Linked DNA regions of Caenorhabditis elegans. The protein of the gene in region 2 interacts with the protein of the main gene of each other region in a biochemical or structural test. Each region holds a gene or a part of one and is shown on either strand. Other genes may lie near its edges.

What was found.
Region 1: the proteins of lin-12 (region 2) and sel-8 are reported together in a solved structure, tested with the Caenorhabditis elegans proteins (one study listed by BioGRID).
Region 3: the proteins of lin-12 (region 2) and lag-1 are reported together in a solved structure, tested with the Caenorhabditis elegans proteins (one study listed by BioGRID).

The regions. Positions count from the first base shown.
Region 1 is NC_003281.10:3,620,627-3,631,014, reverse strand, and holds the start of sel-8 (Protein lag-3), read left to right. Parts: upstream 1-3,872; 5' UTR 3,873-3,894; coding exon 3,895-3,950; intron 3,951-9,370; exon of another isoform or gene 9,371-9,495; intron 9,496-10,388. Other genes in the region: mrps-31 (Small ribosomal subunit protein mS31), read left to right, coding at 649-744, 792-886, 931-1,092, 1,139-1,573, 2,412-2,775. UniProt on the Caenorhabditis elegans protein: glp-1/Notch and lin-12/Notch proteins promote signaling by recruiting lag-3 to target promoters, where it functions as a transcriptional activator, probably as part of a complex with a Notch intracellular domain (NICD) and the transcription regulator lag-1.
Region 2 is NC_003281.10:9,065,070-9,075,603, forward strand, and holds the start of lin-12 (lin-12/Notch intracellular domain), read right to left. Parts: upstream 6,404-10,534; 5' UTR 6,320-6,403; coding exon 6,171-6,319; intron 4,651-6,170; coding exon 4,532-4,650; intron 2,917-4,531; coding exon 2,860-2,916; intron 1,845-2,859; coding exon 1,654-1,844; intron 202-1,653; coding exon 1-201. Other genes in the region: F02A9.7 (CX domain-containing protein), read right to left, coding at 9,886-10,126, 10,233-10,534. UniProt on the Caenorhabditis elegans protein: Essential signaling protein which has a major role in many developmental processes; involved in cell fate decisions that require cell-cell interactions. Probable membrane-bound receptor for putative ligands lag-2, apx-1, dsl-1 and osm-11.
Region 3 is NC_003282.8:6,097,206-6,107,560, forward strand, and holds the start of lag-1 (Suppressor of hairless protein homolog), read left to right. Parts: upstream 1-4,382; intron 4,383-5,511; coding exon of another isoform or gene 5,512-5,577; intron 5,578-5,632; coding exon of another isoform or gene 5,633-5,771; 5' UTR 5,772-7,131; coding exon 7,132-7,894; intron 7,895-8,962; coding exon 8,963-9,149; intron 9,150-9,200; coding exon 9,201-9,302; intron 9,303-10,355. UniProt on the Caenorhabditis elegans protein: Transcriptional regulator that plays a central role in lin-12/Notch and glp-1/Notch signaling pathways, involved in cell-cell communication that regulate a broad spectrum of cell-fate determinations.

The DNA.
Region 1 (10,388 bases), 5.4 Mb from region 2:
GGCTCGCAGAGCTGAGTAACGGGGGAAGCAGCAGCACATTTTCATGTTTTGTTTTGACCGATCAATTTCATTGCAAGAAGAGAACTCTTGCAATAAAAGGAATAAACAATTGCCGAACGCTTTTAGATTCTACGGGAATTTGTTTGGAGATGGATGCAAGAAGAAAATCGGAAGTTTACAGCTTCAGTGGGCCGGGTAGAGGACATCTAAATTGTGGCAATTAATTCCAAAAGAAGAACTCTAAAAGATGCGTAATGTTATTGGCTTTTTATTAGAATATCTGATTTTTAAATTAAAAATCTTTTTTAAAAAATGTTTTGTTTTTTTCTGTTTTTTTTCCTATTACATATTATTTAATGATAACATTTTGATTTCAGATAAGAAACATTTTAATCAAAAAGAACACAAATTGTCAAAAAAAACATAGCGATAAGGCGTGGGAAAATGCGGGAAAATGCAGGCAGACGGAGAAAAAAAGAAGAAAAAAACTAACCCCGAGAGGAGTACACACGACGATACTCCGAAATCCCGCACCCGCGTGTTGTTTAGCCAATATTTCTTTTTAAGTTTTTCGCTGTTTTTTCGAGCAATTTTCGTCAATATTTTCTAGTTTTAAGTCTTTAATATTATTTTTATTTGATTTTTCAGATGCTGAGAAGTCTGTGCTCAATAGCTGTTCGACTTGGCGGTGCAAGACAACCTCGATTGCTGTCCAGCGCAGCTTCGGGCGATGGAAATGATGGTGTAAGTTTTCCGGCTCATTTTTCAAGTTTTAAACCAGTTTCTTCCAGAAAGGTGCAAAAGACGCGATTGATGAGGATTTGCTGAATGCGATTGAAGGAGTAGCGAATAATATTCACCCGCAGAATGGCTCCGAAAAGAAATCGTAGGGTGAAAAATAATAAAAAAGATTCAAATATAACTTTGCAGACTAAAAAATACATTGATCAATCGATTAGTAGCAAACGAAAAAGCGAGTTTTGATGCTGCCGCAGCTTCTGCAAGCAGTGAAATGCTCGATGATCAGGCACTTATCGGACTTCTTGCCGATGTGGCGGGCGATGCCAAAGTTGAGAAGAAGCTTCCTCCCAAGTGAGCCATTTTCAATGATCCGTGACAAATTTCATTTTTTTTCCAGATCCGCTCAACTTCGACAAGAAAAACGAGGACTTGTTCTTCTCAGAAAAGAGATTTTCTATCAGGCAGTTCAAAGTGGCTTCACGACAGAAGAAGCTCGTGTCAAATCAGAGACAATTGTCAATGAAGCACAGATAAAGCTCCAAGAGCAGCGAAAAGCTCTTCTAAATGATGTTAGAGAAAAGGTGGAACAAGAAGAAGTTGAAGAGACGGAGAGAAGTGAGAAGGATCAGAAGTTGTTCACGATGGCCTTGGAATTTATGGAAAAGATTTACAAGGATGATTTGATTAGTAGTGCTGTTCGTAAACCTGTGAAAGTTGACAATGATGCTATTAAATTGTTCAATCAGAAGCCTCTAGGAATCTGGAAAAAGGGCGAAAAATATGAAGATTTTTCCCTTGGCTTCTGGAAACAATGGGATGAAAGAGCTGCAAGGTAGATATTTATGAAATCAAATGGCTCAAAATCCCGAAATTTGATAAAAATTGCTAATTTTAGCTGAAATCTCAGATTTTCTCAATTTTTCCGTTTTGCAGCGATTTGTTTCACACATTTTTGGTAATTTTTAACGTTGTTTCGTTGGTTTTTTCTTCATAATTCTATAAAAACAATTTCCAGTCGCTATGGTGCGAAAAAGTTGACAAAAACGAAGATTTTAGCTTAAACTAGTGAATTATCAGAAAAACTAAGTATTAAAAATTTTGAAAGATTTTTCTAAATTTTGCGTGATATTTTCAATTTTGTAAAAAAATTTTGTTTTAAATATTCGCATTTTCCGGCTGAAATTATCGTTTTTTCGTGATTTTTGTCTGAAATTTTATGTAAATTATATAAAAATCGATATTTTTTTCCTTTTTTCACGGAAACTAACGAAATTTTGCCGGTTTTCTAAAAAATCCAAAAAAAAATTGGATCAGAAAATTAACCATCAAAATCGATTTTTTATCTAATTTTGTTCATATTGATGATGAAAAACATAAAAATGTCATTTAAAAAGAAGAAAAATTATCATAAATTCAGCTAATTAAAAAAATCAAAAATTGAAACATCGGAAAAATAACTAATATCGAGAAACAATTTTTTTTTGATTTTCAAAAAAGGAAAACGAAAAATAGAAAATGTTTCAAGTCAATCAATTCATGAAATTTGGCATTTTTTTGTGTTGAAAAATTGAAAGAAAAATTGGAAAAATGTAGAAAAATGTTATAATTTTCTTTACTTATTTGATCATTCAAATCCATTATCCACCTTAAAAAAACCGTTTTTTTTTCAGAATTTCCAACGGCTCATTCGGACCAACAAATTCTTTCGAAGAACAAATCGAATGGACAACAAAAGGAAAACAATGGGAATATCCAATCGATAATGAGTTCAAAATGGGCGATGAATCGAATGTTTCATTCATTGATCACGTATTCTTGGAGAGACATTTACCATCATTGGGTATCCCGAAATCTGGTCCAATTGCTCATTTTATGCATTTGGTTTGTGTTGGTTTATCCAAGAATCCATATATGACAGCAGCGAAGAAGCGGGAACATTTGAAGTGGTTCGCTGATTATTTCAATACGGAAAAACAGAAATTGGTTCACAAACTTCACGAACAGGAACAGATTGCTGCTCAGAATGCTCTTTAATTTTAATTTTTTTTTAAATTTTTGTTTGAAGGTGGAGTACCGAAATTTAACCCGAATTTCGCAATGAGATGTTCTGAAAATTTCTCAAAAAAAAAATTTAGGGTGGTTCAAAAAATTTCGATGTTTTTCAGAGAAAAGCGATTTTTTGAGAAAATTTTGAAAAATTCGATTTTGTTTTTCTGAGAAAATGTAATAAATTCCGATTTTTTTCGGAGAAAATTTTTAAAAAATTCGATTTTTCCGGGAAAGTAAAAACAAATTTCAATTTTTTTTTCATAGAAAATCTGAGAATTTTTGATTTTTTCAAAGAAAATCAGAATTTTTGATTTATTTTTCAGAAAAAAACCGAAACAAAAATCAATATGCGGAATTAATTTTTAATTTTATTTCCTTTTAATGCATATTTTAGTAATATATTACGCGTTTACTCGTTGAGAGCGCACAAAATTATATAAAATTTGTGCACCCATCAATTGAAAATGTATCTAAATTAATTAAACTATGTATTAAAAGGTGTTAATTAAATAAACAACAAGTTCCGAAAGTTTTTAGGCTTTTCGGTGTAGAAAATTAGTTGAAAAATCGAATATTAGATAATTAAAATACAATTTACCAAGAAAAACGACTCTTGATAAACAATAAATTTGGAAAAAAATCGAATTTAGATTAAAAACCAAAAAAAAAACCTTAAATTGATTTTTTTGCTGAAAATACGAATTTTTCCATAACTTTGAACTGCGAAAACCTTTTTTTGAGAAATTTTCGGAACTTTTCATTATAAAATTCGAAAGTTTTGGGACATTTTGAATCTGATTTCGGTACTCTATCTTTTAATAGTGAATAGGATTTTTCTTCTTCTTTTTTTGTTTTGTTTTTTATTTCTTTAGGATTCACTTTTAATTGTTATTTATCTCTTTATCATTTTCTGTTTTTCATTGTGTACCCCCAGAGTTTTTTTTCCAACAAAATTTATCCAAAATATTTGTTTCTTGAAATTTGTTGAACAACTTGGTGGATAGATCCCCGCGAGTAAGAAATATATGAAGCGGAAAATGTATGAAAGTCTCAGAGACTCCAATTTTTGGGCTCTTTTTCAGGCATCAACTCTCATATGTGTCGATGGATGATCTCTCGGAATTCTTTGTGATTGAGGAGATGTTTATTTCGGAGCCAAGGTGCGGTTTTCTCTTTAATTTTGAATTTTCCGGGAAAAAATTTACCTAAAAATTGCCTCAATTTTACATGTTTACTCCGAAAAAATAAGCAAATTCTATGAAAATAAAAAAATAGGAAAAAATATCAAAAAAGCACAGTTTTCAGGGTTCCGTCTTATAAAAAATCCTTCTAAAAATTTCCGGCAAATCTGATATCCGGCAAACCGGCAATTTGCCGAATTTGTCAACTTCCAGTGGCTTTTGAAAAAAAAATTTCAATTGCTTTTTCGTATAGAAAACTGGATTTTACTACCTGAAAAATTGAATTTTAGATAATTAAAACTATATAATTAAAATACAATTTACCAAGAAAAACTACTCTCTTGCTAAAAAATTTTGGAAAAAAAATCGCATTTAAGAAAATTGAAATTTTTTAATTAAAATTAAATTTACCAAGAAAAATCACTCTATTGATAAAAAAAAATTTGAAAAAAATCAAATTTTGTTTAAAAAACCAAAAAAAAAATCCAGCAAAATTTGCAGCAAATAAAAATAAATTTTTTGCTGAAAATACACAATAATTTTTGATGAAAAGTTGAAATTAGCGAGAAAAATATAAAATTTTTTATACTTTTAAGATTTGTTGGTAGCAGAAAACAAAAAAATTCCACTAAAAAATGCCAAAAAATTTAAATGTTTTTTCCCGAAAAATTGCTGAAAAAATTGAATATTGTTTTGAATATTGACAAAAAAATTCAAAAGGAGAAAATAGTTTCAATTTAAAAATTTGAAATCACATACTTTTTTTTTGTAACATTTGGTGTGATTCATGATTCCCAACTTTGAAAAAAAAAACCATGAAAGTCTATAAAAAACCTCGTGTCGATTTACGCAGCTCGTGTACTCCCCGAGGATTTTCACCAATTCTTGGTGCATTTCCCATTCAAAGCGTAATTTTTGTTCTATTTAAGAAAAAGCCTGTAACATTGCCGAGAAACCTCGAAAATTGAGCTAGTTTGTCCTTCTAAAATTGGTTCTGAAAATATATTATTATTTTCTTTTTTGAGAAGTTGACCCTAGACAGTGTTCCTTGAAAACTCCTATTATCCGTATTTACACACACTTTTCCTAGAAATTTTTGAAGTAGAATTCACCCAAAAATATTCATTTTCTCTATCTAAATGCAATCTAAATTTCACCAACTTTTTCATTTTTTGTTCAATATTTCATCCATCTCCATCTCCTTCACTTCGACAGAGACAACGGAACCAATTAAAATTCGACGATGGCGCCCGTCCGGGACTAAACTGCCAAATCATTTATGTGGTCGTTGTCGCCTCTTCTCATCACGCACCTCCAATGCTTTCGTCCTTTTGACTGACTTTTTGATAACCTGTCCGCACTTTTCAGTGTAAATGTCTATGTGAGACAATTGAGTGAAATTCTTAGATGAAATTGAGAAGATTGAAATTGATTTGAACCTAAAAACTTGCATTTCATTGTGAAGTTTTTTTTTTTTTAATTTGAAGTGCTCTGCAAAATTTTGGTATTTTAATTATTTTTGCAATTTAGAAATTTCAAGCAAATTTTAATTCCGGCAATTTGCCGGTTTGCCGATTTGCCGGAAATTTTAAATTCCGGCGAATTGCCAATTTTTGTTTTTGCCGATTAGAATTGAAATTCTCATATTTCCAAAATGCAAAACCACAATTTGCCGAAACTTTTCTGCAATTGCCGTTTTTCCGGCAAATCGGCAATGTGCCGGTTTGCCAATTTGCCGGAAATTTCAATTCCGGCAATTTGCCGATTTGCCGGAAATTATTATTTCTGCCAGTTTGCCAGAAATTTTAATTTCTGCCAATTTGCCGATTTGCCGGAAATTTTCATTTCTGGCAATTTGCCGATTTGCCGGAAATTTTCATTTCTCGCAGTTTACCGGTTTACCGATTTGGCGGAAATTTTCATTTCTGCCAATTTGTCGATTTGCCGGAAATTTCAATTCCGGCAATTTGCCGATTTGCCGGAAATTATCATTTCTGCCAGTTTGCCAGAAATTTTAATTTCTGCCAATTTGCCGATTTGCCGTGAAAAATCGTTTCCCATCCACCCCTGCCTCGAATCTCTGCAATTTCCAGAATCTTCTTTCTAATGCTCTAGATTTTATCTCAAGTCCTCTGGTTCCACCTGTGACCTCTATAATTACCGGCTGCCAATAACTGGCTCAGTTCCAGGAATATTCATTCCAAAAAAAGAGGCATTGTGTCATAATTGCACACACCTGCAACTCGCTTTTTTTTGGATTCGTCCATTTTTGTAATGTGAAAAACTTTTTTTTTTCAAGTTGAAAATGAAGGACACCTGGCTATCGTATCCATATTTGTAGGTTTTAGTAGTCAGAACTCTCCATCGGTCAGATTAACCAATTTTTTGAAAGAATTGTAATTTTACAATTCTAAATTTTCAATTAATTCTGCCATGGTTTGTACAATTAAATTGCTATAAAAATTTAGATTTTCAAAGTTTTGTAGAGACATCAGTTAACAATTTTTCGATAACGTAAAAGATATCTGAGTAGCAAGCTTCACTTGGTGTGAGAGTGTCCCATTTCGGGTTGATCTACTTAGATCTACGAGAATTGCGGAAATTTAGACGAAGACTTCTCAACTTTTCATTTCACAGTGCTGACGTGAAGTTTGAGCCACCGAGCAGTCTAACTGAAGTTTTTTTGGGATTCTATCAGATCCAACAGTTCATACAATGCTTTTTCTCAGGATATAGCAAGTTATGTTCTCTATTTTGCACAGTAACTTTTTCTCCAGATCTAGACTTTCCAGACCATTTTCCAACATCAAAAGTACCCGAATCTTCCCTGTGTATGCCAATTGAGTTGATCCGGTTAATACCTCCTTCTCGGCAATTTCATCTTCTTCTTCGATTATGACGGCCCTTTTTGGAGGGTGTACCACACACATACACAAACACGTGCAGGTGTCGTTTGCCATGCTGCTGCGTCTCTCAATATTCAACACACTATCCATCGATCCATCGGCTCGCTGCATATAACTCGTACAGTGTCCATTCCTTCCTGTCTCTCTCCTTCTCTCCCTTTTACGGGCGGTGTGTCTCCATACTATCCATCCGTCTTCTCGTCGCTCGCTCCATAGCTGCAGCAGCAACGAGGCGATCACGGTTTGTTATTGTTGCAATTTGGCCTCCTCTTCGTCCCGCATACAGTTGGGTGAGGATGCCACGATTATGACCTCCTTCTCGCTATCTCTCCGCTCTCCGTATCGCTTTTTTGCTCCTTCTTCAACCAGTCAGTCAGATACGAGTTTGTTTATGTTTGTGTCCTCGTTTTGTGGCCCACTACGACCTGATCGTTGACGCCGTCTATGTCTCTCCGTGGATAGAAACAACAAGTAGTGACCATTCAGTTGCATGTTTCACTTTTTATAATCTTTAAGAAGGAAAACAGACAAACAAACACGTGCGCCAATTCTGCGGTTTAGTTCCGAGCCACCAGAAAACGACGACGAGAAAAACATGTGGCTTCCTATTTTTTTTGCGAACCAACTTTTTCCCCAAATATTCATTTCTTCTCGGAAAAATATAACAGGGATGGCTTTCAAAAATATTCACTCCAAAGTTGAGAATCATGGAATTTGAAGACTTTTCACCTTTTTTATGTTACGTGGCCGCGAAAAAGTAAAACTCGGCCACAAATTTTTTTCCGTCTCTGCAATTGCAAAAGTTTGAATTTTTGATTTTCTATACTCGAGCTTTTCTATTGGAAAACCCCATATTTCATCCGTCACATCCTTTTATCAGTAGCATCATCAAAGTTAGTCGCTTCTGGCTCCGGCGAGCTCCACCAATTAATCATCATCATAGCCAGTTGAAAAACGGTTTTAGAAGCCCCTCTAGTGGATGACACCGGTCTGGAGAAGCAACTCGAAGACATTTGAAACAACGGGAGATTGCGTGTCTGTGCGTTTATAAACACACACGGAGAAAAACGCTCGTCGCATCAAGTATAGAAATATGCCTCTCTTCTATTTCGTTTTCTTCGTTTCGTTTCGCTTATTCCCACAATGGGTTTAGATACATTTCTTCGGAAAAAAGTCCTTCCTTTTTTTGTTGTTTCAGCAATGCGGAGGAGGTGGTTGCTGCTTCGTCATTCTGTTTTTTTAATTCGCGAAGCTGCTGCTGCTGCTGCCGCTTCTTCTTCTCGCCAGCACATCCTACGAGACACACTCCTTTTCGTTGTCGGTGCTTTATTATTTATTCCCTTCTCTCTTCTTGCTCACGAGAAAGAGCGGCGCGACTCCGTAAATTTCTTGGCACAATCTAGTGACGTGGTCGAAGAGACTAGGTTGTCAAGTTAAAAGATTAGTGTCTCCTGTCAGACAACAACGTCATTTTATGACTACTCGTGAAATTTATGGAAGTTTGAATATAGAAATTTCTCATATTCAGCTTTTGTTTCAATTTTCTCCGAAACCGGACAACTAACATGTTTCTCCTCGTTCTCTTAGTGTTTTTTATTTATTCTCGAGAATAGATTGAAATCTGATTGCTTTTCGCTTTTTTTTGTTTTCTTCCTTGATGTCGGAGGCAAGTCGTGCTTTTTGGAAGCTGTAGATCAAGGAATGTATATTCCAAAAAAGGAGAATCAACTTGAGTAGCCAAGAAATGGGCGGAGCTTATTTCTGGATTTTTTTTACAAACAAACGAATTCTCGAAAGTTCCAAGTTACCATTTGGATCTCAGACTTTCTGGAAATTTTTGATGTATCAGGCCCATGTTGTATTAGTACAAGCAAGGCTTCCTTGTAGGCGCCAAACGCCTGCCGCGCCTGCCTCGCGCCTTCTGTATGGTGTGGCGTGGACCCGAAAAGTGTCGGCCGCGGCGGAAGAACTACCTTTCGCACTATGTAATTGGAACACCAAGCCTTTGACTTCAAGCCATATTGCAGAAATAAGACAAGAGGCCGGCGTAAGGCGGTAGGTTGAAGGCAGGCGCAAGGCCCTGACACCGCGCCTGCCTTCCAGGGAAGCCCTAAGTTCAAGCAAATGAAAGATCACGTAGATCCTAACGTCCCGAAATTCGTGGTATAATACATTTCGAAGCTGAGCTGTATGTTTTCCATGTGGCTATCTCGGTAGTTAAAATGGAAAAAACGACATGTTATGATATATCCTAACCGACTTCTCTTACACGTGCACACACACACATTCAGTATAGAACGAAGTTGCATTGAAGAGACATAGACAATCAAAAGCGGAACGATGCGGTGACTTGAAAGCCCGAAGAACACAACACAACCGATTTGTAGTCTCTCTCTCTCTCTATCTATCTACGATGAATTATTTTGGATGAAGGCGCGGCGGCGGTGGCCACTACCACCATCTTTTCTCCAATTCCTCATCGGTGACGGACACCGCTCTGGTGACCGCCATCGGGTTCCCCCTTTTCGATGATCGCGCGCGGGGCGCCTCTCATTTATTTCTACTCTTCGTATATGTCTTCCAATCGTGCTTCTCGCGTAAACTGATGATCTAGTAATGGAGGCAAATGTCCCCGATCTATTGAAGAGAAATTACTTTTTTCCACCTAAAATGTCATCGATAATTGACAGTGCCCTTCTCCTCACACTCACTATCATTTTGTTGTCGCCGAAAATGATGATGTTTTGGCGCGTTCCTCTCTTCTCTTTTTCTCCTTTTTTTCCTTTCCATTTGTCTTTTTTTTCCGAATGTTTCGGCAGCAGACCTGGTTATCAGTTGGTTACTTGGCTCGCTTCGAAAATTGAAATTGTTTTTTTGAGTGATCGAATCAGAAGTCTCACTTTCATCGTATCATCATCATCTAACGAACACATTATGACAACGTCGGCGATAATGGATAATAAGTGGAATCGAAACTACGAATTATGCCTTTTTAATGGGGGAAGAAGTCGAAAGGGCAATTGCGGGTCACTGAATACTTCTTCTACTAGTATGTAGTATCTCACTTCACAGCTTCTTACACTTTCCGCTGTTCCTACTTCTACTATTTTCTCTCTTTTTCTCCTTCTTTACTCGCCGGTCGGGTCGTCGTCACTGACGTCGTCGTCTTCTTCTACTTTAACAGAGTATTCCTCAATAGAGACTTAGAGAGACAAGAAGTGAAACACTGGTCGAATGATGACGGCGTTAGCGGTGATGGTGGTGGTGGTTGTGTGGGGGTATACGCGGCCCCCCGTATGTCGCTCTTTTCGTGTGTCCGTCCTCTGTGTGTGTGTCTTGGAGTAGTGCACACTCGGCTGGTAGTGGTGATGGTGGTGGTGGTAGTATCTCATCCCGACCGCCAAGCGGCCCTTCTACCAAAAGGATATGGCTCTTGGAGGCGACACAGAGTGTATGTGTGTGTGCTCTTTTGCCCTTAGAAGAAACGAAGCACAAAAAAAAAGAGGAGAAG
Region 2 (10,534 bases):
TCCAGGTGGACACTGGCATTTCGACGAGGCCTTATCACAAAATCCACCATTTTGACAGTACATACTTCGTCCATCTGGATGATCTGCTGAGATTTCTAGAAAACAAACTGGTTGCTTGAATTCGACGGTCGATGTGTTCCCAGGTTTTAGACAATCCGGAGGAAGGAATCCTTGGGGACACACGCAAATGTATGTACCGAGCTGAAACAAAAAGTAAATAAATAATTGGATTTTATAGGTGGGATATCGGCAGTAGGCCGTCAGTAGTAATATAATGGCCAAAAAAATCAAATATCACATATAAATATTCTAAAAAATATTTAGATTTTTTGAAATTTTCAGTATAAATTTTGGCAAACTACTGATGAAATTTCGCAGCTCTACAACGTTTTCACAAAATTTTAAAACATGAAACTTGTTGAACAATTTTTTGGCAGTCTTCCAAAATCTCCAGATTCACTACATATAAGCGAAAACTGACCAGTGAGTGATTTTTACTTTCTGACAGTATGAACTTTAATTTCAATTTTCATTGCTCTACTTTGACAGCTAATATCTCGGTTTTCTTTAGCTTCATAAAAAATTAATTAATTAAGAAAAAAATATATATAAATAGTCGAATCATGTTTTTACTGTTAAAAATGTTTTGTTAAAACCAAAAATAACCGAGATAAGAGCTGTCGAAGTTGAGCAAAAAATACGGTACTTTATTTTGAAATTCGTTTAATCTTTTTTCCAATTTTTAGTCAAAGTTTTGGCAAATCTGAATTTTTAAAACTTTAAATGTTTACTTCAAATGACATGATAAACAGATTAATAGTGTTTGAATTAATGTAACTTGTTGTGGATTACCGCAAAAAACCTAGATCTATCAAGGTAATATGTTCTTGTGTTACATCATGATGTACAAACATTAACCGGAACCGTAAATTATTCTCCCCTTATTATTCATTTTCTTATAATATTTGCACGCCCTTGAATCTCAAATATTCTGAATCACATACATACACACGCACAAAACGAAGGGCGGCAAATTTCTTTGTCGTCACCCTCGCCCGGGCAGTACGCGCGTGTCGGTTCGCATCGCCAGCTGCAGAAAGGACTACGGTAATCGATGGGAAACTATGCAATTCTAGAATTGATCTGGATTTAGCTTCAGGCAACACTCTAGGGATGTTCTATTCAAATACCAAAAACGGTGTCATACATAGTTTCAAAACCTATTGTATTGGTAACTAAAACTTGTGGCACAAATATATATATATATATATATCAACCAAGGACTAATTAGTAAAGTTTTAAAAGTTATATAAATTGCGTTTTACGGATTCATGTCAAATCCTTATGTCGAAAAATAGAGAAATTTTGTTTTCTGTCCGGAAGTATCTATACCTTCAATTGGAATTTTAATGAAATTGCTGAAAACTGCCGCAAAATCGCAATGTGCCAAGCGTTATATGCCGATTGGCATTCTAATATTTTTGTCGGTTTTTGAGAAGCTTCCCAATTCTTACTATTAAACGTACAGATATTTTGCGATTTAACAAATATTGCTCTATATTTTTATATAAATTTCTTGCAAAAACTGACAAGAAGTTGGGTGTCTTAAAAGTGCCTACTCTATATTTTCTACATAATCATAAATTAACCAACCGTATTCATACAAGTACTCCTATTTCCACATGCATTTTTGTTCTCTTCACATTCATTGACATCAAGTTCGCATCTCTCCCCCTTAAATCCATCTGGACATGCACATTTTGCTCGATTTCCAGCTCCAATACACTGTCCACCATTCATACAGACAGACGGGTAACACCATCCTTGTGTCTTACAGTCGTCTCCTGAAATGCTCTACAGTAAATCTACAGTAATCCTTAGTTCGTTAATCCCTATATTTTGTGGTTTCCCACAAGTATCAAATTCGTTCGCAACACAAAAAGAGGCACGGCAGTTGACATACATCACATCAAAAAGTTTGCCGACGCACCATGACAAACTCATTACAATCTTTAGACTACTTTGTGAAGGTAATACCGCGAACAAAATAGTTACTTGTTAGAAAATTGGGTTTAATTGAAATTCAGAAACATCAAGGATATCTCGTATTTCATGGAAGTTCGTATACCGTATTTCTTTTAACTTTGACTGCTTATATCTCAGTTGTCGTTTGTCCTATTTGAAAAATGTCAACGAAACATTTTAATGAAACATTTTTAATTTTTTCTACAGGTTAGTACTTGGTTATTAATTGATATTCAAAGATGTACCGAGATATAACCTTTCAAAGTGAAGTAGTCACAATTTCTTTTCTGAATTAAAATTTTTTATTACACTTTTAAATATATACCACTGCCTATTGCATGCCAATTAAGACATATCTTTAAGATGAGACTAGGTGTCAATCTTATTACTAAAGGAAACACGCAACAGTCATGATCTTTTAGATTATATCAATCCGACAACAGGTGGAGCACCTAGTCTCAGTGGGGTTTCCTTTCGGGTTTGCAACTACTGTGGAACGTGTCAAAAGCCCCAATAAAAGTATACCGTAACCTAGAATGTTTTGAATCTGAATTCATTTCAGAATTCGTTTCCCACGACCTTCTATTATCAAGACGTCAAGAAGACGACCCCCAGTAATTATAGAGTCATTTCGAAGATGATCGGTGTTGACGGGAAAGTCATACGGCTACAGTAATCCTGTCTCTGTTAAACTAACTATGCCCATCAATAATCCGTTAAGTTTGCTCAAGTGTACTGTGACGTAATCGGAACCGATAATTACAGGGCGCTATTAGTGGTTTGTTACACTTGTTTGTTCGGGTTATTGTTGCATTAGAATATGGAAGTACTTACCTCCGTAACCGGATGGACAGCTTGGTTTTAGTAGACTGTTTCCGTTAATGTCGCAATCTGAAATTTACTATCATAATTATTCTGTATATTAGAAAAAGTTAAGTCTAGGATATTTTTGTGTTGAACTGGAATAATTATCTGAATGAATAATTGTACTACAATAATCACAGTTCCCTACAGTATCCTGCATTACCACTACAGTACACATACAACATGTATCCACTAACCTCATTCCAATATCCTTTCAAAAAACAAAAACACTTTTTCAGAAACTACAGTACTCCTACATTACCCATATGAACTCAAAAGCAGACAGTTATTTTTAATATATAAATTGATCTATCCCTGTAACCATTCCACTTGTATATTTGCTTATTAGCCTAGTCGTACAATAACCAAATGTATACTTTCCCACGTCTGCCACTTCTTCTCCGACAGACTTCTGCTACATCAAATCCTATATACTATCATCATCTGCTCATCATTTCTAGGTCATTTATCCCACTTTTTCCCAAGAATTGGCAACACACACGAGGCGCCATCGGGTCGTCGCCCAATTCACCGCCCTCTTCACACATACCGAACATCAGACATAAATCGCGCCAAAAAGAAGCGCATCGACAATAGAGAAGCGCGCATGAAACAGAGAGGCTAGGAGGGGCAGATGACCTAGGAGCTATCTATCAGGCACCTTACGCGGTCACTTTTAACGCCGCCAACAAGACAAATGAGCTGAAGAGAAATGGAAAAAGATTGGCCGCGCTTCAATTTGTCCTCGATACAAACGAGTCATGATGAAATATTGAGGTGTTTGGTTGCCGTAACTTTGTTAAATATCTACTAACTACAGATTGATGAAGTTTGGAGCAATACTCATAAATGGTTTAACGGAAAACGATTAGTAAAATTTTTGAAAGTTGGGAATGGTAAGCGCATAAAGTTTAAAGCATAGTTTTCGTAAGCTTTCGAAATATGAGGAAATGCCTGCCTGGCTACCTACAAGGCAGCCTACGTCTGTTTCGCATAAATTACACATGTAGCCACAAACTTCCAATCTTCTAATGTCTTCAATTTTTGTTGAATTTTCAACATCAATCTACAGCAAACTACAGAGTTCAAGCTAACATTTAAAAAATTAGACGGTAGGCCGGCAAGTCAGCGTGAAGCAGACATTTAGACCTGTATACGCGTTGCCTATAGGCCTATTGCTATTATACCTGTGATAGCTTTAACAATGAGTAAGTAAATTCTTATTTTTTAATCTTCGAATATTTCGTTTAGTCTTAAAAATGATACAATTCCTAGTTTCTTAACTTCCATTGAATTTTCAAATCCACCTATTCACTTTCAAATTATTATTCACCCCCAACTTTGTCAGTTGTTTGCCACAATTCCACCAGGCATGTGCTTATGATGGATGGTGTGGTCAAAAAGATGACCGACAAAAGGGCGCGCGCAGCTGACCCTAGTTTTGGAATTTTGGGCCAAAAAAACATTTCATTCGCAACACCGCCACCATGGAGGGCTAAAAAAAATGAGTGATGGGTGTTTAGGTCCCTATGGGAATTGGGCAAAAAAGTGACCACTACTGGCTCATTGGTTTTGCAGGAAAATGAGATGCAATGGGAAGTGTTGTGTATAAGTTATTCAGCTCGAAATTACATTATCTTACCTTTACAGACACAGGTCTCCATCCGATAATCTTTGTCAAAAACACATTTCTCATCGGCTCCACATTTTGAAACATCACACTGTTGTTCACAATATTCACCACCAAATCCTTCATCGCATCTGAAACATTGGGAAGGGTTAGGGTTAAAGATTAAAGACGTCGTGCAGCCGAAAGGCACCGTAATCCTATTGTTTTATGGTTTTATGACAACTGATGGTAGGCTCACTCGACAGTATGTTTTGCCGACAAAACTGGGAACACGGCTGTAAAATTGTGAGGTGGCAACTGAGTCCTCATTTGTGATAAGATAAGCAATTTTGAAGACTATTCTTTTTCTCATTCAAAGTCTCAAAATGCCGAGTAAAAGTGGCATTCGTTGCAGTTTTCCGAAGTTGCCAATTGAAAGTAAAGCAATTTTCAGAAAGTGCAAACATTTTTCTATACTTCTATTTAAATTTTCGGGAAAAACTTTGACAGATAATACATCTGATAGGGAGTTCAAAACCAGCTACAGTAATCTTACAGTAACCCCCCATTGGTCATTTCTTTTGGGAACTTGGTCATAAATCCTACCCCATTCTTTTTTGTTTGATAAGAAAAATGTGGAAGACCAGTATTTTTTTGTCATTAAGAAGAATTCTCCCCTCAATTTCCCGTATTTTTCGGTTTTCCCATGGCAATAAACTACCGATTTGGGTGATTTTTTGGCGGCGGTGCGAGACCAGGAGGGGGAAAAGCTGCTTCTCTTTCGCATTTTAATGAGAATCTCAGCGGGTTAATTGCCTGGTTTTTCTTCGACTTTGAGACGAGAATTGGCAGGAAAAAAATGGCTGAGAATTGCTTTTCTGAAGTTGATTTATCCAAAACCCGACTTTTTCCAACTTTCCCATAACACCCTGAAAGTATTGTTTTTACAATATTTTCCCTCACTTTTTCCCAAAAAAATTGAAAGTTTTTTCTACAGCGAGGGACGACGCAGGTGTCTCCTCTGTGGGGTTTTTTCTCTCATTACTCGCTCATTTCTCTTGTTGCGCAAGTTTCGTAAATGGTGGGAACCCGTGCGAACAATGTCCTCCTATTAATTAACATCAACTATAAATTAATGGTGTGTTGTTCAAGTGACACGTGTCTCTACTTGAACCATATCACCTATCTTATCAGGAGCTAGCTGCTCAACGGAGAGCACATGCCGCTATAAATCAAGACGGATTACGTAATTATTGTTTGAAAAGGGCATGGATTATGGAAGAATAGTCTACTGGTACAAACAATGTTTTGTTATAATTTACAGTACTTCTTTTACTAGTATTGCACCTAGCTACTTAACTTTGTAAAGTTATAACTCGGTTAATTTCAAAGATATAAAAAGAATTGCCGTATTTCCTCTAATAGTCTTGAATAAAAGAATAATAGAGGAAATACGGTAACTACAAAACGGTAGCAAGAGAAATAACAAAAATTTGGTCAGTTGACAATTTTGTAAAGGAAATCCCATAATTCCTAGGAATATTCCTTACCCCCAATTTATTGCGTATTTTTAAGATTAGTTTTCAAAATGTGTAGATTTGTATTATTTATTTTACGTTGAATTAAAATTTGAAAAAATGTTTAAGTATTGTTAAGCAAAATCTTCACATACCTGCACCAATAAGAAGTTTGAGTTCCATTGACAGGTCCAGCATGGCAGTGACCATTTCTTCCACATATTAAGCCAAGACATGAGCCAATATGAAGCGATTTTGATAACGAGATAAGAAGAAATAAAAAACAAATCGTAGGGATCCGCATTTTTTGAAATTGAGCAAAGTCTGTTGAGCAATAGGGCGGACAGAGACAGGAAATTAGCTTTTAGATATGGATCATGTAGGTTCTGAAAATGGTTTTGAATTATTTAATTTAGTGAATTCGTTGTTTGAAAGTTGACGACAGTAAAACGGTATAGAAATGCAAAGGATCGGACCGTACTAATATTGCACCCCTGTTATTTAGTGTTGACAGCTTATATCTCAGTTGTCATTTGTTCTAAATAATAATTGTCAGCTGACAAAATATTTTTTCCATTGTGCAGAAAATCAGTTTTTGATATCATCAAAATGAGCGGAGATATTACCTTTCAAAGTAAAGTAGTGAGTTGCAATACTAAAAGAGGAATACAGTCATCGTCAACTAACAAACAAGGGCAAAATAGAAGGAAACAGGATCAATTCTTAAAACTATAATACTTGGCTCGAAACATTTTAAATATTTCGTGAGAGCTGTAGGAATATATTATTACCAATAAACGAAACCTAATAAAACCCAAACCTGGTAGCTTTTGCATTATCATTAATTAAGGATAAATAAATGCCAATCAAAAAATGGGTGGCTATTGTTATGTCTTCACCCAGTAAAAAGGACGAGAGAGGGCGAAGGGGTGGGGGTAGGATGAACACAAAAGAGAGAGAGACAGATGGCTCCGCCCAACTTGTTGCGGTCGCGGTGCGGCCACCAAGTAGACTTTTTTTTCATCGAGAAAGAAAAGGAGGAGAAGATGATTTTAAAATGAAACGACGATGTCAGATGGTTGGATGAAGTAGAAGTAGGAGGAGGTGGAAGAGAAGAGAGTGGGAACGGAAGGAAGAATGATCAAGATGAGGAAAACGAACTGCTGGGAACGTATGGTGATTTGCGGCTTTTGGGTCTTTGTGTGTCAGTTTTAGAGTTTTATTTCTGTTTATTTCTGTTTATTTCTGTTTATTCGGATACTTTATAGTTTTTAGTTTTATACATCAATACTTGCAAAAAATTTCTAAGCTTTGTTCAAAAAGTAATATCTTGGTTTTATCCATTTAGGAACAACTGTAAGATTGTATAAATGATTTTTAGCCATTTTATAGGCGGAAGAGATTTTTCATAGCTTTTCCTGTTCAAAAGCTGAAAGAGCTTGAAAATACTAAACACATCGAGTAAGAATTAGAAAAAAAAACAAATCAAAATATTGAACACGCTTTTTCCAAGGTGTTTTCTAATCTCTCTATTTGAATTACCTCCAAAACGAGAACTGCATGGCCAATCAGCAATTCGCTCTGCCCATTCTTCAACCAATCAGATTAAGTATGGAAATTCCGAAGTCGCTAATTGGTTCAAAAGTGGGCGTTTGTTTTTGGCGGGAATTCAAACAGATTTGATCATTTTTTGATTATTTTTTTAACTGTTTCACACAATTAAATATAACCTTATTCTCGACAATTAATTGCTATCTGAACCAAATTTGTTGCAAAAATTCACGCATAGTTGTTGCTACCAATTAACTACTATTTTCCCAAAACACGGAAATGATGGATGAGCCAACAGGAGCACAGGTGTCTGTTACTGTGGTGTCATATACATGTGACGTGACAATCAACCGGCAACTTTGAACTGTCGTCGACGGATTAGTCTCAAGACCTCTTGACTTGATTTATTGGCATGGGAACCCGCCAAGGAAAGGTTTCAAAAATAACAATATTGTTAATAAATGAGTGTAACATTTAAGAAAACATTTAAAAATGGCATTAACAATAGCTCTATAAAAACCTGGTTTTTTAGAAGGCCGTTATTAATTATCAGCTTTGGTGGTATTTTGTTTTAAAATAGTCAAATCTTAAAATTACCACAAAAAAGATAATAGGAAATCTTATGAAAATGAAAAAAATGTTGCTGAAGAAAATTCAAATTTCCGTTATATTGTGAATGGGGCTACCTTGTTCTCCTACTTTTATTTGCACAAGTGCATCATCATCTGTGTCCTTCTATCTCAACCATTCATGATTATTTTGTGTTTTAGTTGATTTTTTACTGATTGATCATGCATCTAAAAATAATGGGAAAATGTTTTCAAAACTAACCTTTTAGTGGGAAATTGTGAGATTATTAGCGTGGGCGCATGCCTCCCCAAAAAATGTTGTTATCAACGTACGTAGTAGTAGAAAAGAAGCCAAATGGAACAAAACGAAAAAGAAAAAGAAATCGAAAATATGAAACAAATAGAAAAGAATCAACATTTCGGCACAAGATGGCAGATATTGAATATTGATTGATTCAGGTACACTTATACAATCTCCAGTTGCACAGGTGGAATCGTCATATTGGACAATCTGGCAATATTTATATACACGAAGACCTTTGTCGATGGTTTATTGCTAATTCGATTACAATTTTGAGTCATTGTTAGGAAAGTAGAGGTTGCAGATGTTTATTGATCATTTCATAATTTTTATTAAAAGTTTTTTTTCTCTTTTCTGAAAATTCAATCCGATTTCAAGCATGCTAACTTTGAACATTTTTAGATTTTTCTAAATTTTCAGTCAGTTTTGGTAATTGAACAAATTTTTCAAAATGACTTTCTGAGACATTTTGAGCCATGTCGCAGAAACCCTTACAATGCTTGAATATAAGCCTTTGAAATATAATTAAAATTTTAAAAAATGATGGAAAATCCATTTTTCATTCTTCTGGCCAACTTCCGAAATCATGATATGGAAAAACAGAGTCATCTACACTTTTCGACTGGAAATGAATATCTTAAGATTTAAGATTTGTTAAGATTTCGAAATTTACTTGAATTATAATGTTCAACAGCTTTAGCACTAGAAAATGATATTTTCTCATTTCCCACTGGTGTTACTCCAAATTAAGTTGAGCATAATAACTTCTATCATTTGATACTTTGATTCAAGTACGGCTCCTTCGAAATTTCAATGCATAAACTCGCAAGTTTAGAACTCCAGAAAATGTATGAGGTTGGTTAAGACCCCAATTTCTTCTTCCGGTTTATTTGTGCACAATGATGTAACACGAGAGAGTGTTACCATAACTTTTCTCGACTTTATACATTAATCTACAGTAATCCAACAGATACGTGTTATGTTAATCCTTCCGGATTCTGTTCAACATATAGTGAACTGACTGAGTTAATTTTTAGGGCAATAAATCAATCTATGTAACTGTTTGAATGAATCTATAAAACTTGGGTTGGAAACTTGGGTATTTGACATTTTTTATGATTTGCCATCATTATTTAGAAAGTGCTTCAAAGAATCACCGCTTTGTTATTTATGAAGAAAAACATTTTGACCTCTTTAATACCACAAATATTTATTCAAAAATATTATTCAAAAAAGAAAACCGGGATCATACTCTGTAAAAGTGAGAAATAAAACATCATATTTCCAGTATTCGTCTGCTCCCTACAACTCGAACAGTTCATATCGAAATTTATTAATTTTAATAATGTTTGATAAAAAATTGAAAAATTTTCAAAAGAAATGCCGGGAGTGAGACTAATAGAAGAAATGCGACAGATATCAAATTATATACAGTAAATCGATTTTTTTTCATGCTCCGACACCAGGCGCATTTTCATTTTTCTTTGACATATCCACAAGTTCCAACGATTTATAGACTTGTGACTCAATCTTCTTCCCATTTAACTTCTTCTTTGTCCATTTGAAAATAGTATCAGCAATTCCACTGATTAGCAAGAAGAATAAGAAACCAAGTAGAACAAGAGCACAGCACCATTTATCGATTTTTTGATTGTATTCGGAACGGGTGTGGTCGACGAGACAGCTTCCTCTGAAAAGTTATATTTCCTATTGATTGTGAATATTGGAAGGGGAACTAAAGATTCAATGAATCTAAATTGAGAAAACACCGAAATTTCCATTGAAAATAAACTTACTCTGGGCAGAAATAGTGTCCAATAATCATGAATCCATCTCCTTTGTGATAAAAGGTCTTATTAAGATGACTAACCCAATCCAGATTCGTTGTCACCGGCATAAAATCAGTGGAATTGAAGAAATTATCAATTTGAAACTCGACTCTTTCCACTGGAACATCAAAATGTCTTGAAATCTGTGCAGTGTTCTCCATGATACTGTAGTATTGCATTTCATTGTCACGGAATGTTACGTGGCAGTAAGAGTCACAATTGATGACAATAAATAAATGAAATTGCGAGATTACGGTAGGTAGAGTGAA
Region 3 (10,355 bases), on a different chromosome or scaffold from region 2:
ACACACACACACACACCAGTTCCCTCCCCTTTTTCTCTCTTTTCAACGGCCAGTTCGCCATCCCTTTCTCACACATTGTCTGTGTATATGTGAGTGAAAGAGAGTGTGAGAGAATGCCCGGAGGCCGTCCCTCTTTACTTGTCAAGAATAGTATATGAGATGAAGATGCGCAGACATTTTGAGAAGTGTGTCCTCTCTCTCCTCTCTCTTTTTTCCTTCTTTTCATCGTCTGCAAACGGCCCCGCAACCGACCGACCACCGACACAGCCCACAAGGCCAACCTTTTTTTCCCACTCGTCGCTTTTTCCCACGATATTCCATCTTTCACACGTTCCTCTCTCAAGCATTTTGTTTTTCCATCCAGGCTTTCTCCGAACTTTCTAGCTCGTCTAGGAGCTAGACTAGAACTACAGTACCTCTTGATCAGTGATAAGAGACTGGGGGCACTCCTACGGACTGTCTCTCTAAAAGTTTCCCAATGACTTTGGTTCTTTATTTCACTGCGTCTCTGTGGGAATACAACAATCTTCGGTGTGGTTGGGGGGTTGTCTTTGTGGCAATGAAGAGACAACACATACGCACACAAGATGATGCGTCCCTGGGAAACCCCCCCAACTGGTGGGAAGATTGAAAAGTACTAAGAAATTGCAGTAACTTTTAAAGTTGACTAGATTCTCGTATCTCGGTGTTACAGCCTAACTTACAGGCATGCTTCTTCTAGATTCCAGATGATTATACGACATTCAAAAATTATTTTGGTACTTTTCCTTTTCTACCCCGCATTTTCAGAAGAATATTCCAATCATTGAATTATTCGAATTTAATTCTCACGTGAATGTTCATTTTAATACTATTTTCATTTTTAGGCTTAGAAAACAACATTACTAAGCCTAAAATAAAAATTAAAAGCTTTCCATTAATTCGTAAAGAATCATACCTTGATTGACAAAATATCAACAATCAACGGAGAACTTTCCTGCTCTTGCTCTCTTCCTGTTATCAACTTTGAATTGTTATCATAGTTTTCCCGTGTATATTTCTCACACAGTTCTTATTTTACCGAACCCGCCGTCCTGCCCGCCCATATTCTCGTTCGTTCTACGCCGCGCCGTCTTGTGTGGACATTTTCCCACCGACGCCACCCTCGGCGGTTCTTTTTTTCCAGTCACACACTGATTTCCATATTTGTTTAGCTGGTATACATTTTCAAAAAATGTCATGACTGAGGTGTCGCTGGCGACGGCGGCGGTCAGTACCAGTCAGTTTCTCAATGTTTTGATGTTGAGGTTCCCATGATGCTCTGGGCAATTTCGCACATGACGCGGTGACGGTCGAATTTTTTGATTAAAAAAAATATCTGAAAGATGCTTTTTCCTGATTTTTGAAGAGCTATTTATTTGGATACAAATTGGAATTTCAGTTTTTGATTTCGATATTTTCTCTGTAGAATTTGAAAACTAGTTATATATTCTATGCCAGTATTTGAATTTTCTACATCGTAATCATATTAAAGCTGGAATCGTGAAGGCAGGTCTCGTCACGATCTGGGTAATAATAATTCCTCATTAGATTGTACAAAAAATTTGAATTATTCCAATCCTTCACACCTCTAAGATCATCCTCTCGTATTTCAAACTTCGCCTATTTATCAACCATTCCAAGGAACATTACCTTTTCGTGGATACATGTTGCATTTCTCTTCTTTGATTCTCTTTTCTTTTATGTTTACTTTTTCTGCGTTTCTTCTCACACCTTCTCCAGCAGCTCCTCTTTTACCGATTACCCAACATGACCCCGTCGTCTTCTTTTTCTATTCAATATAACAATTTTATGTGTCCGTGTTTGTGTGCAGCAGCAGCAACACTTTCCTATCTCATCACCTATTCCTTGACGACCGTTGATGATTCTTCACTGGCTTCTAGTACTGTAATAATTAGAGACTCGAATCGTCGTTATTTCACTGTAAATTTTATAAATTGTTCCATACTTTGCACCTGCACCGACACACAATCCGAATCTCTCGGTGCATTAGAGGTGGTAAAAGTGTCCGATTAGATTGGAGATTAAAATAGTTATTAGGCGTGAGAGAGAGAGAGTGTCGGTTGGTTCAAAAAAGGAGTTGTGTGATTGACTTTTTGAATAAGGAGGTTTTTTCAAGCCGAGCAGTTGTTGAGCTGAATAAGAAAATTCTTTTTTTTTTATTGGAAAGACACAAAATTGTTAAAAGTTGCGCAGAAATCCAAAACTCTCTTTTTTAATGAACAATTAAAGTTAAAAAACACGAGACTTCACTCAAAGTAAGAAAGTTCGTTCCCCCTTTATCGTATTTCAATTTTCTTGTCTTCTTTCATAAATTCCCTTTTTAGATCTTTAAAAATTATACATATAAAGGTAAAGGAAGTATCCGATCAGAAAAATTCGATAATAGACCCCATTTCAATCTGGGGTGTGATTTTCCGTGTTCCAATCGGCTTTTTAGTACTTTTTGGAAATTTTCCTCCTTTCTCTAAAATAACGGTAGTACAGAATAAGGAAATTTTTTTTTAATCCAGAAGCGGCCAGCCAACTGTATAGGAATTTCAATTTTTTTTAATGTGCTGAACAATTTCGAAATCAAAAAGACCCTACTCTCCAGCTGATTACAATCATCTGATCGATGTCATATTTCTTTTCCCAAAAATAATTTGTCTTGTTTCTCTAATTACTCTTCTCTTATCATCACAATCTCTCACGTTTCTTCTGTCTCACCAATAAAAACGGGGGAATCCCCCTGCAGGTTCAAGTTGATATCATTAGAAACCTGTTTTTCACGCAGTCAATACTCTTTTTTTTCCCTCGATAAATTGATCATTTTCTCGGCTTTGGGCGTGGAAATATTTTCTGCAATAAGATGTGTTGAAAAGTCAGAAAAAAGAAAGTGTTCATCCCGCCCGTTGTCGTAGATCATTTGTTTTATGGCAATTTTCATCATCATTTTGTAACCGTCTTCTTCCTCCTCTTGCGCATCCAATCCACATATCACACAAAAATGTACAATACGAAAAATAGGTCGGTCTCTTCACATTTTCATCACCAAAAAAGTGTTTTTGCAGAGAAAAAAGTGGTGATAAATGTGGAACTTATAACTGTAAACACATTTAAACGAGGGCGGCGAAATTAGATATCAGACATATACGATACAAAAAAAATTAAAAAATCTGTGTGTATTTTGTTTGTAAAAAAATAAAATAATTGCGAGTGCATTTTTTTCAGATTTGAGGATAAATTTTAGAATTCATGGAATTGGAGCATTCGATAGGTCGAAAGGAAAGTATTTTGAGCATTCAATTCGTTATATCAGTTATCCGACTCAAAGCAATTTGTTCTACTTTAGAATTAACGCACTTTTTCGATTCTGAGAAATTTATTCAATTCGAGCTTCTTTCTGTAATCAGATTTTACCGCAATTTTTCAAATCTTTTTTGCTCTTCTTTTCCATATTAGCATTGTTCGTCTCAAAATTTTATTTTTGATTTCGAAGGCTAATTTCTTCTTTCCCAAAAATTCGTACTCATCTATGACCTTTTACAGTATCAAAGAAACATATATGCATTTAAAAATTATTGAAAAAAACTGTTTGAAAATCTCAAAATTTTGTCATTTTCAAACTTAAAACTCGAAGAACATTTGAAAAAAATACAGTATTCGCTTCAAATATAATCGTTTTCATGATCGGATTCTCTCAGAATTTCATCTTCAATCTGAAAATACTAGATTTAAGTGATTCCGTGGATCTTCTATTCTCGTTTCAAAGCTTCACACTCCTGCTTTTTTAGTTGTCCGATCTCTTGTTTCTTACCATATTCCGACATAAAAATCCCGCCGAAACCCATCAAACTTCTTCTTCTCGTATACGAATATAATATGTGTGGGTGCTCCGTTTTGTCGCACAAGTACCGTACCTCTGCTTCCTTACCGATATTCTTTTCTCCGAATCGACGACAAAATTTAATGATCGATTCGGAGGCGGAGGTCGAAGTGGTGGGAATAGAAGTGATAAAACATACGCACACCTCCCGATTTTGTCGATTCTTCGTGTATGTGTCTCCCCGGCAGTTTCATTCTTCTTCCGAGAGCATTATATTCGGAGGTGCTCCCTTTTTGACACGTCCCTCTAATTGTTTAAAAACCTCTTTGGATAATTTCCATGAAGTTTTATTAAAGTTTTAATTTTCAGACTGGGTGAACCCGCACGAAATCTGGATAAGTTTATAGGTAAGTTCGTAATCAATCCATCGAAATTTCAAACAACGTATCATTGAGTTCCAGAAGCAATGTTCCAGTCGGTATCGCCGCTGGCCGGTGTCGCTGCAGCGCCGAGCCAAATTGCCGCACTTCAACAGGTGAGATTTGATTTATTTTGGTAGTAGAAATCATCAGAAAATTCTAAAAATTCGGAAAATATCAAAATTACAGCAATAAATAAAAAATTGAAAGTAAAAATGTCATGTTGCCCAGTTAAAGGGGTATTAAAGTTTACAGTTTTGGTCAAATTAACTAAAACTCGCCCGAAACAACTGAATTTTTTCAATTTTTTCAATTTCATAACGAGACTTTTCAAAAAATTGCCGGTTTTTTTTTTGAGAATTTTCGTTATGAAATTGGTTCGTTTCAGGCCAGCTTTTGTATAGTTCGGCAAAAACTCAAAAAATCTACTCCCCCTTCGAAAAAACTTGACAATAAGTTTCCGATTTTCAAGAAAAAAACGGCGCATGGAGTAGTATTTTTAAAATTAAAACACCTAAAAATGAGAACTGAACTATTCGCTAAAAAGTCGCTGAAACCAGCGGCAAAATATTAAAAATCCCAAATCCCTACGGAAAAATTCAACAATGGGCTCTATTTTGGTCACTTCCAAAAAGTCGAATTTTTTTTTATCATTAGGCCCTTTTTTCCTTCCTTTCATATTATAAGAATATTCATTTTTAGATATGTATTTTGAGTTTTTTGCTTAAATATTCTCAGAAAAAACCGTTTCTCACAAAATTTCTCAAAATCATTTCTAATCGAATCAATCAATTTTCCCAGTCCCCCGAAGCACGAAAAATATTCACAAAAGCCTTTAGTTTTCTCCCATAACATTTCTCGTATTGTCGCTGGGACTCACTTTTCAGATATATAATGTTGAAAATAAACTTGCATCAATATTTCAAGAGAACATTTTCTAAATTTGTATTTCCCAAATAGTTCCTATTTTTGAATTCCTAGTTTTTTATTCATTAAAAAGTTACAAACTGGAAATTTTTCTAAGAATTTTTCAAATTTCAATATTTTGGGCAATTTTAAATTTTATAAACTATAATTATTAGTTATTTGAACTATATTAGAATCTAAAATAATTTAAAATAGACAAAAAAGGCGTACGGAGATGACCTGTAATTTCCCAACGTCTGCATTTATTGATTGTCACCCCATTGTGTTCGAGTTCAAAAATTCGATATTTTTATCAACTTTTGATTTATTTTATTTCAGATACAAGCGTTGATGACATTTCAAATGCAGCAGAATAATTTATTTCCCAAAATTGACACTATATCGGTTAGTTTTCACTAATAAATTCTTATATTTTAAAATGTTATAATATCAATTTCAGAAATCGCCAACTCCAGAACTCGCATCTCCATCGGCAAAACGAATGAGACTTTCTCCCAGTACGAGTAGCCACAGTGATGTCGCATCAACTTCGAAAGGAACAAATGGGCAAGATCAGTCGAAAAATTCGCCGACAAATTGTGAGTTTTGGAAATTTTCAAAATTAAAAAATATGTAAACTTTCAAAATTCATGTTCTAGACCATTTTTTCCCCCCAAAAAAAAGTCGTATCAGATACATTTTTCTGATTTTCCCTTGCAAATGTGTTCTTCCAACTGAAATTTCCCTCAAAATTTTTCCCTTTCCCTTGTTATTTGGGAAACTGAAAACCGCCGAATGGTGAGAGTGTGAGCGCGCGTGTGCTTCTGTTAGCTGCATCGACTGGTGGCTAATTCATAAGCCCACTCTCTTTTCCCGTCGAATTTTCCCACGTCGATCGATAATTTGAGCAGTGCCGACGGCTCAGCTCAGCTCTCCCTAGACTTCTTGTGTGGAGCTCTACGATTTCTTGATTTTCTAATGATTTCTCTCTCGAAGCACGAAAAATTCGAGAATCGCTTGATGGGGAACTTGTTTTCATTATGATTTGGAAATCAACGGAAAACAAAAAGGAAGAGACCGACACAGTTCTGTGAAATAAATATAGAAGTGAATAAAAATATGCATAGTTGTCCATATTCATGTGGGAACTTTTGGTGCTCATCTCTATTTGACAAGAGACCACAAGGAATCGAGTTACGCAGATGGTTCACTTCACACGAATAATGATAGAATGAAATAGATCAAAGACAGAGAGCTATCAAGGAAAAGTACTGTACCTGGTCGACAGGTGCCTGGAGGTACCATCATGCTCTTTGAATTGAGCACACAGTGGACAATGGCCGTAGTGCAATTTAAATGAGGTGTATTAGTCAATAGAGAAGATAGTAAGAAGTTCCCTTTGTAGGTTGACTCGACAGATATGATTTAATTCGGATGTCTCCAAGAATCCAGAAATTCCGATTTTCCATATATCTGAATGTGCACTCTTCCCTATCAGTCATCCCCCGAGAATTTTCCCCAACCAACCAACCCATCGATTTTCACACGAAGATTCACACTCATGAATCACTTGAGATCCTCTTGTCTTATCGTTATCCCATAACTTTCTTGACTCTTCTCGTGTGATGAGAGGCACCACCACCACGACGGAACGCAACAAAGAGATCACCTGTGTATACACATGGTACATCGGGAAGGCAACAAGTGAGGATTAAGATTTAATGTAAATGAGTGAAAGTGAATGAAAGCGACCGTTACTATATTAGGATGGTTCAATTTTGAACGTCTTTGTTTCCAGATGCCACTCAATTAGCGTTCACCTATTCAGTCATGAAATATCCGAAGAGCTCAACGCTCTCTCTCTCTGATTGGATACTCTGACTCCGCCCATCTACCAGTTTGTCTTTCTGTGTGCTTTTCCATCAGAAAAAGCTATAGACTATATGAAGAAGAGAAAGAATGTTTTCGTGGAGGCGTGGCGATTGTGAGTCGCAGAAGGAAGAAAACCGAAGTGAGGAAAGGAAAGGAGAGGAGACTATTCGTTTTCCCACCCGCTCTCCTTTTCATTGTGTGCTCTTCTTGCTGACAGACGGCTTCGTTCTTCACAAACCCACAGCCAGCCCCACCGTCGGTTTTTCCCCCACAATATTCAGCTTCTACTATTCTCGGTGGGAATCTTCGCATCGGATATCCCACGACGAGAGCGGCTTCTGCACCGCGAAGACCCCCCTTCAAGACTCGACTTTCACGCGCCACCCATCCACATCGGTCCCATCGTCGCCCTCAACGCCAAGACACTCCGGGATGGATTATCATCAGTCGTCTTCGGTAGCTTCTTCCGAGTCGACAGCGTCTACAGTAGCCGCGGCGGCGGCTGCTGCAGCTGCTGCATCACTCAATCAGCATCATCATCCACATCTATATTGTGATGATGGACTTCTATCGAGAAGTTTAACTGATATGGTATCATCTGGTGGATATGATAGCTCATCATCTTCTCTAAGTGCAGCTGCATCAATGTGTTATCCGACTCCTGATGCATATTACTATCATGCTCCACCACCACCACCTCCTCCACAAGCACAACAGGGATTCAGTTCAACAGACGCGTGGCTTCAAATGCAAATGCAACCCACGTATCATAACTTTGGCAGTACTGTCGTCTCTACCAATTCCCCACTTCCAAGCCACCTTCTCAGTTATGGAGGACAACCAGCATTTGGTGAGTGAAATTAGTAATAAACGAGGTATTAATTGGATTACGTAAATTCTGAGAATTCGTATTTTGCAACTTGTTAGCCGAAATATCTCGTATAGACAAAGCGCTACAGTAGTCACTTGAAGAATTATTGTAGTTTTCGCAACAGAGATGTAAGCTATTTAAAAATGAAGTGAAATACTGATAGAACTAGTATAACAAGTACAATAACCTAAAAACTTGTTCTGAGATAGCTCAACTCAATCTATAAAGTCAAAACATTCCTAACACCATTATCATGTGATAATTTTTCGAATTTCTCACCCTTATCAGTCTGTAATAAACTATTCACATAAATAATTTTACTAGTAGTTCGCATCTCGTTTGAGGTCTCACTGAAAGGGTTCCGCACTGTGTGCCAATACTATTTTATTATAATGGGCGCACGTCGCGGCAACACCAAAAAAGAATCAAAATTATGCACAACGGCTCTCCTGTGGCGGCTAAAAGACCGGGCGCCACCCACATCGTTATCATTCTCCTGTGTCTCACACACACATTCATATTTAAAACGACAAGGCCACAGACATTGGTTTTTATTCAATCCCTATTGTATTACCTCTATCCCATCCCACATTGAACATTCCTCTCGATGCTCAACCCGTACTATTCGTATTATCCCTATTACTATGGGGTTGGTGGGGCTCCGTCGTCTTCCAATGATGTGCCAACTAGTGTGATATCTAGTACCACTAGCAATACAGTAACTGCATCTGATGGTGTTACACTCACGAATCTCGAAGCACCGAGCTCCGTGGCACCACCGCTTGCTCCGACTTTTCCGCCTCCGAATTTCTCAATTCCATTCAATTTTGATTTCAATTCGTTTACAACGGCTTCTACTACGGCCTCGCTTGTAAATGCTTTCAAGAATAATAGATTTCAAGCGTACGACCGTAAGAATTCTAGAAATTCCAGCGGTCAAGTAGAAAATATCTCAAAAAACTTGGGCGGAATATTCAAATTTGGTGGGTTTTTGATAAAACTTGGTTTAAATCTGCTTTAAACTGAAAGTTTCTATTTAATTTCCAGCTGATCCATTCTACACAATCGGGCAGTCAACTCCAAACACATCATCATTCCTGGACACTTCAAATTCAAGTTTTGGAGCTCCGTCAACAGTGGTTGCCAATCCGATGACCAACTATCAATTGGCATTTCAAGCGAAACTCGGAAGTCTTCACAGTTTGATTGGAGATTCTGTTCAATCGTTAACAAGGTTTTTTTAAAAAAAAATTGATTTAATGTTAGCAATAATATTTTTTTTCAGCGATCGAATGATTGATTTCTTGTCAAACAAGGAGAAGTACGAATGCGTCATATCGATTTTCCATGCCAAAGTTGCCCAAAAGTCATATGGAAATGAGAAAAGGTAAAGATAAAAGGAAGACAGGTGGCGAGAACAAGCTCTTATTTAGTTGAACACAAACCACTCAATATTTGTTCATAATTGATACACTTACAACATACACAGATAGGCTCTAATGTTTTGGTTCTTTTCGAGCAGGCAGGTGCTCTCTCTCATCTCGGGTATCAATTAGATGTGGTTACGGTAGCTTTTAGAGAGAGAGATCCGATTTTCATTCTGAAAAAATTCGTTTTTCGATTCGAAAAAGGGTACGAAAATTGAAAAAAAAACCGCGAGACTGCGCCGACTCACGTAGCGTGGGAAGATTCGATCATATGTATATCACGAGTTACTTTTGATATGCTGAGTACCTTTTTCTACCGGGTATACGGTAACTCTTTGCCTCGATACATGTCTACTAAGACCTGCACGGCTACCGACTTGCTAAAGTTCAGGAATTTGCAGATTGCCGAAAATTATTGGTTCGGGAAGTTATGGGGTTATTCAAGTAATGTAGCAAAATGTATTAAAATACATTTGTGACGTCACAAATGTATTTAAATACATGTTTTTATATACTTGAATAAGGTTGTGACGTAATTTTTCTACACTTTTTAATTTTCCGACACTACTTGAATAACCCCATTAGGCAACTGTGGATATCAATTTCAAATTTTTTTTTTGAAAAACGCAACAACACTATAACATAAATTTTCAACTTATATATATATATAAGTTTAACCAAAACCGAAACTTTGGCGATTGCCGGTTGCTTGATCTACCATGCCTTCCTACCCTTCTTACCAAGTACCGATATTCATGTACAAGGACTTCCACGTGGTGTTATACTTGACACACTTCATCATCCAGGCTGTCAATTAGGCTTGTATCCCTTCAGATTTGGTTGTTTTCTAAGTGCTCAGACACTTGCCTAATTGGTCCAAGGAGGGGGTTAAGCTGTTAAATACGGTGGTGTTTGCCACTTGTGTTGCATTAAATATTGTGTTTCTCTGTACTAGGTTTCGTAAGATTAGAATACTAAGCTGCGCGAACATATGGTCGTTAACGGTCCCCGAG